Linked DNA regions of Canis lupus familiaris. The protein of the gene in region 1 purifies or fractionates together with the protein of each later gene. This does not show direct contact. Links are inferred from orthologs where the notes say so. Each region holds a gene or a part of one and is shown in the gene's direction. Other genes may lie near its edges. The genes, in order: ADRA1D, SNTB2 and SNTB1.

Region 1 (3,343 bases):
TTTCAAATGCTTAAACTAAAATACAAAGGATTGCAAATAAAACGGATTTCGTTGAAAACACCAAAACATTTGTGAATGAAATCTCTGGCTTAGTAAGGAATGTGCTTCTAGGTTAAGGCATTAAGTAAGAGAATCTAGTGGTAGGTTCTGATGACTGTCATTTCCAAATAGGAGCAGACAGTATTTCAGAGCATCTGCAGCAACTGAATGTGATAGGAAAATACCTGGCAGGAACTGCTGAGAGTCAGGTCGAATTCTAGGAAACTGCCCATCTTGCACCAGTTTTGAGCTAGGAGAACCGGGACCGCATAGGGCTTCCTCTCCCTCCTACTTGAGTTTGTTGCCTACACTGTCATTCAGGGAAACTGCTCAGTATCAAGGAGACGTCAGTAAAACGGAAGATGATGATTTTTTCCTCATCAGGGACCCCCTTGGGGAGAGAGACGTTGGGAGCCCCGAGCTGGCAGCCCAGCCCCTAGTTGAGGACTTTGCGCCCAGGGGGCTGCCGGGCCTCGCTCTCCTGGAGCATCTAACAGGCGTGGGTCTCTACCCCCCCCCCCCCCCCCCCCCCCCCGCAGGCTCCCTGTTCCCGCAGCTGAAGCCCTCGGAGGGCGTCTTCAAGGTCATCTTCTGGCTCGGCTACTTCAACAGCTGCGTGAACCCGCTCATCTACCCTTGCTCCAGCCGCGAGTTCAAGCGCGCCTTCCTTCGCCTGCTGCGCTGCCAGTGTCGGCGTCGTCGGCGCCGCCGGCCCCTGTGGCGCGTCTACGGCCACCACTGGCGGGGCTCCAGCGGCGGCCCGCGCCCCGACCTCGCTGCCGGCCGCGGCGCCGCGCCCCCCGGGGCCCCGCTGGCCCTCACCGCGCCCTCGGCGCCCGGCTCCCCCGGCTCCCCCGGCTCCCCCGGCGCGCCCGAGGCGCAGGGCCCCGTCGCCGGCCGTCGAAAGCCGCCCTGCGCCTTCCGCGAGTGGAGGCTGCTCGGGCCGTTCCGGAGACCCACCACCCAGCTGCGTGCCAAGGTCTCCAGCCTGTCGCACAAGATCCGCGCCGGGAGCGCGCAGCGCGCGGAGGTGGAGGCGGTGTCCCTCGGAGTGCCCCACGACGTGGCGGGGGGCGCCGCCGGCCAGGCCTACGAGCTGGCCGACTACAGCAACCTCCGGGAGACCGACATCTAAGGCCCGCGGGGGGGGGGGGGCTGCGGGCGGGGGCGGGTGCAGGTGCGGCAGGGCGCGGCGGGGGCCCAGCGAGGCTGGCTTGACGCTGATCCGGGCTGCTCCCGGGCCTCCCTGAGAAACTGAGGCTACGGGGTAGGGCCCTGGAAAGGTAAAAAGTTATGGCCTCCCTCCCCGACACAGGTGCCTGGAGCTCTTCCTTTCGGAGGAAGGGGCTGTGGGTTCCGGGGGGCCTGTTGCCCCCAATCCCTGTTTGAGAAACACTGCCCCATCCATGCCTTGAACCCTGGACAGACCGCCTCAAGAGGAGGGGCAGGCCTGCCTGGCTGTCCCCAATGCCTCCCCTAGGGAAAAAGCCAGTGGGACCAGGGGGACTTCTCAATGGACACAACTTCTCCTTACTGCCGACTGGAGGAACCCAGTGGACCAGCCCAGCCACCAACAAGCTTTGGTGGCAGATTGGATGACCATCCCACAAGCCTGTTGTATTTACCCATGGACCCACTCCCCACTACAGAGGCTCCTCCATGCATACCCCACCACCTGGCCCTGCCCCTCATTATGTCCCAAGGGCCTTACTGTTTACACTCTGTACATAGTGCCTGTGCCCATCACTTCTTGCGAGGATCTGGAGCCATCAAATGGGGAGAGCTTTGTCATTTTGAGACATATTTATTGGTAAGAGTACTTCTATTTTGTCCAAACTGTGCAAACTGTCCCTCTTTAGCTTGTAACCCATAAAGAACTACTTTTTTTTTTTTTTTTCTAAACTCCTTCAAGTTCTAAAGCCCAACAAGAGGATAGTCAGGTCTGCATTCACCTTTCTAGTTTCAACCCAACTATCTGTTTAATGGATGGCTGTTCTCCTCTGGGACTTTTAGCATGACCCTTAAAGGACTTAGGGGTTTTGTTGGCTTTTAAAATTCATATGATGAGTCTTGGGAACCAAACAGTAATCATAAGCATAAATGTTCATTTTGTCAGTCTCCCCAGATGTATCTGTGATGCTCTTGGTCTCAGTGAGGAAGATGGCCATCAGTTAAATGGATAACACATTACATGAAAAAATATAGAAGCCCAAGTAGACAAGCATACATGGTATGAGAGAACACCTACTTAGGAATAGTGCTGTTAGCTTTGAGTGAAATGTCCAGCACTTGTCACATACTCAAGAGATTGAGGTAATTCAGTCTTCAGCTGGATAATATCAACCACACACATACAGCCGGAGTGGGGGTGATAACTGTGGTCCAGTGGAAAGCTGGTTAGGCAATACCCCAGGGTGTCTGGAGTGGGAATGTTCTAAAACTAGAAGAGCCAGTTGCTGGGGCCAACATGGACCAGTAGTTTGAATCAAAAGTTTCCATCCTGTGCTGAGGAAGTAGTCTATTTGAAAGGTAACCACGATTTTAGACCTCTCCAATTTTATAAGGTAAAAAGATAGCCAGTACCAGGGCTCAGGAGCAGACATTTCATACTGTGGATCTACATCAGCTTCTAGGCCTGGCATCCCCGCAAGGCACAGGAAGGGTAGTTAAAGGCGGGTTCTGGGTACATGCTGTACACCCCAAAGAGGGCCCACTTTACAGGACATTGGCCACCTAAAGCTGGGGACACTGGAGGACAGCCCTTGCTATCTTCTCACAGAGGTGGGGGCCATCCCTCAAATCAGGAGTCAGCAAAGGGGCTGACCCCTCATCAGAGAACTGAACATTGGGCTTCTGGGCAGAGGTTCCAACAGCAGGGGAAGGTCTCTGAGCAGGCGAACATGGGCTCCCACATGCCAGGGCAGTGGAGCCCACAGGAGGTCAACAGTGGGGATAAGGGAGCAGGTTGGGGAGGGAACGTTCATAGGGGGACTTTAGGGGGCCCTCCCTGCCCTGGAAAACCCAGTAGGTGTGCAGGCAGGTGGAGCTGGCAGCTAGCCCAATACTTTCTCTAGGCCCAATGATTAATCTGCAAAACATCTCTCATGTTCAAGCCTCAGCCCTCATCTCCTGGCCACAGGGGCCCTCTGCACACAGCTGTCACCTCCTGTACCCCCATGCCTTCAGGACATCAGGGGGAGCTACAGAGCTCCCCAAGAGGCTCTGCCACAGGGACCCCCACCACCACCAGGGACCCAGTTCTAATCATGGATAAAGCACTGAGTTGCTGACCTTGGGGTCAGGA
Region 2 (3,649 bases), on another chromosome or scaffold:
GAGCCAAAGGCAGACACTTAACTAACTGAGCCACCCAGGCGTCTCCATTTGTTTCTTTAACTCATTTTCAAACATATATTGAGCACACACTGTACTATGTGTTGGATACTAAGACTGAATCCATCATAAGTCCTGCCCTCAAAGAACTCAGACCCAGCAGGTGGATGGAAGTATTAGCAAAGGATACAACCCAGGGTGCTGAGAGGTTGTGACAGAGGTGTGTTGGTAATACCCTGGGGAGAGTTGACAGGAAAGGTTGCTGAAGAGGTAACTCTGAAGTAGAGTTGACCAGGCAGAGAAAGAGGAATCCTAAGCAGAAGGAAAAATACATGCAAAAGCTCAGAAGTTAAACTTTTTAGAATATAGTAGTGGCATTTCGTTTGGATTATATAGCCTTTAAGATATTCTCCAATCCTAAAATGCTGTGTGCTGGCTCTTTAACTTAGTGTCTTTTTTTACTGACCAACAGATATTAAATGTATGTGTGTATTTCAGTTGTCATTGTTCATAGGAAGCAAAAACAGTAACCTTCTTCTTTGATTTTTGTTTGTAGTCAAGTTCATCCGAGAAGTAACACCATATATCAAGAAACCATCATTAGTATCAGATCTACCTTGGGAAGGTGCATCTCCGCAGTCACCAAGCTTTAGTGGCAGTGAGGACTCTGGTTCTCCAAAACACCAGAACAGCACCAAGGACAGGAAGGTCATCCCTCTCAAAATGTGCTTTGCTGCTAGAAACCTAAGCATGCCGGATCTGGAAAACAGGTGAGCTGTACCTAAAGGGAGAATATCGTACTCACAGCTTTACAAACTTAGGGACATGTTGCAATATTACTCATGCATATTATTAATAATATGACTGTTGACAACATTATGCAGAGGAAAACATCAGCCTAAGATGAGAGAATAATTTTGGGGGTTCCATATATATCTTTTTTTTAAAAAGATTTTATTTCTTTATTCATAAGAGAGATAGAGAAAGAGGCAGAGACATAGGCAGAAGGAGAAGCAGGCTCTCTGTGGGGAGCCCGATGCGGGACTCGATCCTGGGATCATGACCTGAGTCAAAGGCAGACGCTCAACCACTGAGCCACTGAGGTGACCCTGGAGTTCCATATTTAAATTACTTTACACATACATGTACATATACATATATGGAAAAATTTGGGACAAACACACAGGAAACTTCATGGTGGTTCCTCCAGGGAGTAAAATAAGATTAGAAGGGTAGGGCAGCCCAGGTGGCTCAGCGGTTTAGCTCCACCTTCAGCTCAGGGCGTGATCATGGAGACCCGGGATCGAGTCCCACATCTGGCTCCCTGCATGAAGCCTGCTTCTCCCTCTGCCTGTCTCTGCCTCTCTCTTTCTCTCCCTGTGTCACTCATGAATGAATGAATGAATGAATGAATCAATCAATCAATCAATCAAATAGATTAGAAGGGTAGAGGGACTTCTCTTAATTTCACACTTTTCTGGAGTATTAGTACTTTTCTCACTCTGAATTTAATTCATAATTTTAAAAACCTTGTTAAATTGTAAATATCTCCTCAGATGGAAACTCCTTATATTGTGGATAATGTAGAGTCTGAGATCTGATTATAGATATGGCTGCCTCAGCTAGCAATGTGACCCTGGCAACTTGACATCTCTTGACTTGAGTGTCCTTATTTGTAAATAGAGAGAGTTGATTTTGAATAATTTCTAGTGTCCCTTGCATAGTTCTATAACCATTCAGGTTCTGTGACTTTGTCTTCAGTGATTCTGTGAGGTGATACTGGTAAACCTAGTGTTCGGTTAGAGATTAGGGGGAAAAAAGAGACAGAGAAACTTATCCAAAGACCTAGTTAAGCACCAGACTTTATATAATGTACTTTCAGTTTTATGGTCTCTTCTGATCTGAATGTATAGCCAAATACCCAATCAGGATGGGATGGATACAAGAAGACAGCAGGAAGCTCAGTGACCTTGGGCATTTTTTTGAAGATTTTTTATTTATTTGAAAGATAGAGAATGCATGAACAGGGGAAGCCAGGAGCCTGATGAGGGACCCAATCCCAGGACCCCAGGGTCATGACCCAAGCTGAAGGCAGATGCTTAATGAGCCACCCAGGTGCCCCAACATTGGGGATTTTAGACCATGGGGACATTAAAAGTCCTGCTCTGTAATATATATTGTGTGTGGCATACTGGAAAGAGTTGAGCTCTGCAATCAGATAAACCTTCTTGTGGAAATCAGACAATCATGATTAGGGTGACCTGCTGAAAGGCTCTGAGCAAATCCTTTCACCTCCATAAACCACCATATCCTCATTTGTTTTTTTTTTAAAAAAGAATAATAATACTTAACTCAGTGTGCAGATTAAATGAGACAATAATAGGAACCCTTTGCACAGAGCCAGGTTCATTGTAGGTTCTTAAGAAAGAGTGACTTGCAATTAGTTAAGCATCTCCCTTCGGCTTGGGTCATGATCCTGGGGCCTGGGTTGAGCTCCAGGTTGGGCTCCCCACTCAGCGGGGAGCCTGCTTTTCCCTCTCTCGTTGCCCCTGCCCCTTGTTTGTGCTTTCTCTCTTGCTTGCTCTCTTTCAAATAAATAAATTTTTTTAAAAAGTTTTTTTTTTAAAGATTTTTATTTTATTTATTCATGAGAGACACAGAGAGAGTGAGAGAGACAGAGATACAGGCAGAGGGAGAAGCAGGCTCCATGCAGGAAGTCTGATGCGGGACTCGATCCCAGGACTCCAGGATCACGCCCTGGGCCAAAGGCAGGTGCTAAACTGCTGAGCCACCCAGGGATCCCCCCCAAAAAAATATTTTTTAAAGCGTAGCTTGAAGAAGTCTTAACTGCCAATTATGTTTACACATTTTGAAAATTATGTTCTGATATATTTGTATTGATCTTGTTTTCTTTCTTTTACAAGTTCAAGACATTATGGAAATTGTTTCAAGTTACATATAGATTTATTCATGAAAGATTGTGTGCATGTTAAATTATATCTAAATACAACAGAGCTTGGTCTTTAAAGAATTGCTTTTTTTTCATTAAGTAAGAATTTAATTTGCAAAGTAATCACTTCTAACTTTTAGATCAAAATTATTTTTTTTCTTCAAATGAAATGCATTTTTGGAGAGCTTTTGGTTAATTATGAACTTAAAAAAATTAGGAAAAAAAAATAAGGACCACAAAGAAGGAACTAGAATAGAGAAACAATGTGATAAAGAACAAACAGCAACTAAATTTGTCAACTGGTTGTCAGGCTGAGGAATTTTTTCAGGCTAAGTCTCTTCATTATAAATCATTTCTGAGAATGAGAATAGGTATCTCTTGTCGTAGTCTGTTGTGACTGCTGTAACAAAATATCATAGACTGGGTGGCTTATAAACAACAGAAATTGATTTTTCACAGTCCAAGAATAGGAAGGATAGAAGTCCAAGATGAGGTGCCAGCAGAATCCGTGTCTGGTGAGGGCCGGCTTCCTGATTCATAGATGGCTATCTTCTTGCTGTGTCCTCACATAGCGGAAGAGTCTAGAGAGCTCTCTGGGGTCTCTCTCTCTCTCTCTCTCTTTTTTTAAAGATTGATTGATTGATTGATTGATTGATTGATTTATTCACGAGAGACACAGACTGAGAGAGAGGCAGAGACACA
Region 3 (3,749 bases), on another chromosome or scaffold:
ATTTCTTGATTGGCCTGGTAAGGTGACCAACTATAATAATACCGTCCCCCTGGAACAATGAGTAACTAGTAACTAGTCCAAACAAGTAAGGGAACTTTGCAGATACAGTCCACTGCCACCGAGTTCTCAAACGGTGGGACCTCCTACATTGGATTTTGGGAAGAAAGAGAAAGTCCCAGGAAACAACTGGAATGGCCCTGGGTGGGGTGGGGGCGGGGACCAGACAGAGACGCAGATTGCCTACGGAGTGTTGAAGCTGGGAAGGCGTCAGGTCCCGGGGTCTGGGGTCGGGGGCAGGCAGTGACCTGCTGAAAGCCACCGGCCAGCACACGCGCCTCTCCAGGGATCCGGAGGAAAGAAGTCCTGCCTGCATTTCGAGAGAGGAAGTTTCGGGCCCTCGGGCTATGCTGACGCTCCATCCTGAGCTCTCGGGACAGCCGTCCCTCTGGACTCTCGGAGAACCCGGGGCCTCCATCCGAGTCTACCTGGGAACCCCGGCGCGGAGGGGAGCCAGGTGAGGAAGAGCTCGGCGGGAGAAGCCAAGCCTCGGTTTGCGGAAGCCGGAGCGAGGAGGGTCTGGGTCTGGGTACGGCTGGGGCGTGGGGGGGGGGGGGCGGGACCCAGGGACAGTGGGGCGGGCTCCGGGGCGTGGAGCGCGGGCCCCAGGCAGGGCGAGGGGTCCGGGCCAAGGCGCGGCGTGGGCGCCCGCGGGGCGGGGAGGGGGCGGGGCCGGGGGTCGGAGCCGCGAGCGGCCGGAACAGGTGAGCGGCCGCCGGGCCCCGCCGGGCCCCCGCCCTCCCCGCGGGCGCGCCTCCTCCTCCCGACCCTCCGGGCGCCGAGCGCCGCCGCTCCCCTCCGTTGGCGCGTTTGCAACTGGCAGCTGGCTTTTTTTTTTTTTTTTTTTTTTCTTTCCCCTCCTTTCCCCTCCCCTGAGTGTGTCTCTCCTTCTTTTAGGTCGCTCCACCCCGCGCAGGATCCGGCGAGGGGGAGCGCGCGGCGGCGGCCACCTCGCGCCGGGCGCGCGTGCCAAGTCCCCGAGCGGCGCCCCGCGCCCGGCCCGCGCCCCGCGCCCGCGGCCTCCCCGCAGCCCGTGCCCACTCTTCCCCCCTTTGGCAATCGCACGGCGTTTTAAGAATGCCGGAAAGATGGCGGTAGCGGCGGCGGCGGCGGCGGGCCCGAGCGGCGGGGGAGGCGGCCGCGCGCCGCGGAGCGGGCCGCTGGAAGTTCTGGTGCGGGACCGCTGGCACAAAGTTCTGGTGAACTTGGGCGAGGACGCGCTGGTCCTGAGCTGCGAGGAGGGCGCCGCGGCGTCCAACGGCCTGGGCACCGCCACCAATGGCGCGTTCTGCAGGGGCGCGGGCGGCGCGCAGCCCCCCGACTCGCCGGCCGGGGTCCGCACCGCCTTCACCGACCTGCCCGAGCAGGTGCCCGAGGCCATCTCCAACCAGAAGCGCGGCGTGAAGGTGCTGAAGCAGGAGCTGGGCGGGCTGGGCATCAGCATCAAGGGAGGCAAGGAGAACAAGATGCCCATCCTCATCAGCAAGATCTTCAAGGGGCTGGCGGCCGACCAGACCCAGGCCCTGTACGTGGGCGACGCCATCCTGTCGGTGAACGGGGCCGACCTGCGGGACGCCACCCACGACGAGGCGGTGCAGGCGCTGAAGCGCGCGGGCAGGGAGGTGCTGCTGGAAGGTAGGGGCTCCCGCCGGCGGCCGCGCACACACCCCCTCGCACCCACCCACGTGCCCGCGCAGCCCCGGGGCCGGCGGCGGGGAGCTGGGACAGCTTTAGCCCCCCTGCCCCCGGGTCCCCAACCCAGGTCCCTGACCCCGCGCCCCTAACCCAGGTCCCTGACCCCGCGGCCCTAACCCGGGAGCTCTTGCAGGCCGGGACCCTGCAGGGGTGTGTGAAGGGGCAGGGCGAGCAGGCTTAGTGCACCGCGTGTCCTGTTTCCCCGCGGATAATCCGAGTGAGGCGTGGGGGCCGAGTGTAACCCGGGGCAGCCGTCCACGCGGCGGGGAGAGCCCACTGAATGAATAATCGCAACTCTGCTGCAGCTTCGTGCCTCGGCACTATGTTCTCAGAAGCCTGGGCGATCTGATTTAAAGGGTTCATTCAGTCCCCCCCAAAGAGGATGGAGAGGCGTGGCCGTGTGCGTGGACCCCCCCGCCCCCCAAGCCCCCTCATCCTCCCGGACTTCCCTCCTCGCAGACTGGAAACCCGGGTTATTACGCTGGGGGAGTTGTGCCAAGGGCTGGGGAAGTGTGCCGCAGCTTCATGCAGAAGTTGGTTCCCTTCTGGTGCCAGGTGTTTGGCCGGTCAGTCTGGATTCCAGGCTGCTCTGGCTGGAGGGTTGCTGAGGCAGTTTTTCTGCCTGGCCTCGTCCCGGGATTTTTCCTGAGTGGCGTGGAAACAGTTTCGCATTTGTAAACAGTTTCCCCTGAGTGGGAGGCTTCTTGGAAAGGACTCTCTTGAGATCCTATGTCCCCAATCCCCTAATTTTTCAAGGGAGTGGAATAGGTAGCCGAGTTGTTATAGCCTTTTGGGATTATGTGCTGTTAGGAGGGCAGAAGGGCAGTAGGGTATTAAGTGGATAATCATTCTCCTTTCCCACTACATCTTGTATCTCTTACTTGGTAACTGCCTCTCTGCCCCCATGGCTTGCTTCGTGCTAACCTCAGTTAGCACACATATCATGTAATTATTTTTGCCTATTTACTCAGCTTCCCCCTCACTGTAGATTGAGTTGCCTGGGGTCTTTTATTTAGTTATGGGTCATCTCCCTTGAGTTTCAGGGCTCAAGGATATGCATGACAAGTGAATAAATAAATGAGCCCATAGCCATGGTCGCACAGTATTTCAACCCAGATCTTGTAAACTGGTGGTTGATTTAAATCCGAAATTGAGGACTTAAAGTCAATTTCCTGCTCACCAGATGTGGTGCTGGTGTGTGAAACCGAGAAAGTTCAAAGTTGGAAAACCAGCTTTGTTACATGTGACAGCTGATGCAACTCTCTGGTACACGATCGTCCAGCTCCTGCCTAGAATACATAGGGTCCTCCCCCACACACTTTTATTTATCTAGAGGATTTGTGATGTCTTCATATTTAATAGCTACCCTGGATCCAGAAAGTGGAAGGCTATTTGCTTTGGCTTGATGATTAACATAAGTAAACAGAAAAAAGTTTTCTTGACTCGAGTGTGTGTGTTGGTTTGTGTGACAAGAGGCAGGTGGGATCTGCGGCAAGTTTAGTTTGGACTATAAACTGCTAGGCGCCTGCTTCGCTTGCAATATTTGCTATAAACTCTCAGGGGGGACAAAAGGCAGGCCATTTCTCTTTCAATTCGTTATGTCTTTTATGTCCTTCATTATGTCTTTTCTTCTCTTTGGTTTCAATTTAATGAATAATAACTTAGCAAAGAGATGAAAAAAAAAATCTCTCACCCAAAAAAAGAGGAAGGAAAGGTGACTCCCTGCAGTTGAAAATAAATTTAAAAGGAATCAGACAGTTATGTGACTTTACGGATGCAGCAACCTAAGAGTGAGTTTTGTAAAAACCTCTGATGTGACATTCTTGCAACACGCCATCCTGTGTTACGGGCAGGACCTCTGCGGGGAGGCCTGTGGGCCTCCTGGAAATGAGCCACCTGGGCTTGGGGGCAGCAGTCTTATTCCCAGCCAGAGTTTTCAGAGATCGACTGCAAATGAGAGAAGCCAGTAGAGGCCCCACTCAAAACAATGTCTCTTG

The links.
Region 2: the proteins of ADRA1D (region 1) and SNTB2 purify together in Homo sapiens (tandem affinity purification; 4 studies listed by BioGRID and IntAct, with this or other methods). This does not show direct contact. The link is inferred for Canis lupus familiaris from reciprocal best matches to the Homo sapiens genes ADRA1D and SNTB2.
Region 3: the proteins of ADRA1D (region 1) and SNTB1 purify together in Homo sapiens (tandem affinity purification; 4 studies listed by BioGRID and IntAct, with this or other methods). This does not show direct contact. The link is inferred for Canis lupus familiaris from reciprocal best matches to the Homo sapiens genes ADRA1D and SNTB1.

The regions. Positions count from the first base shown.
Region 1 is NC_049245.1:17,682,786-17,686,128, forward strand, and holds part of ADRA1D (alpha-1D adrenergic receptor), read left to right. Parts: intron 1-578; coding exon 579-1,174; 3' UTR 1,175-3,343. UniProt on the Homo sapiens protein: This alpha-adrenergic receptor mediates its effect through the influx of extracellular calcium.
Region 2 is NC_049226.1:80,985,590-80,989,238, reverse strand, and holds part of SNTB2 (beta-2-syntrophin), read left to right. Parts: intron 1-553; coding exon 554-767; intron 768-3,649. UniProt on the Homo sapiens protein: Adapter protein that binds to and probably organizes the subcellular localization of a variety of membrane proteins. May link various receptors to the actin cytoskeleton and the dystrophin glycoprotein complex.
Region 3 is NC_049234.1:20,013,890-20,017,638, reverse strand, and holds the start of SNTB1 (beta-1-syntrophin), read left to right. Parts: upstream 1-1,130; 5' UTR 1,131-1,145; coding exon 1,146-1,692; intron 1,693-3,749. UniProt on the Homo sapiens protein: Adapter protein that binds to and probably organizes the subcellular localization of a variety of membrane proteins. May link various receptors to the actin cytoskeleton and the dystrophin glycoprotein complex.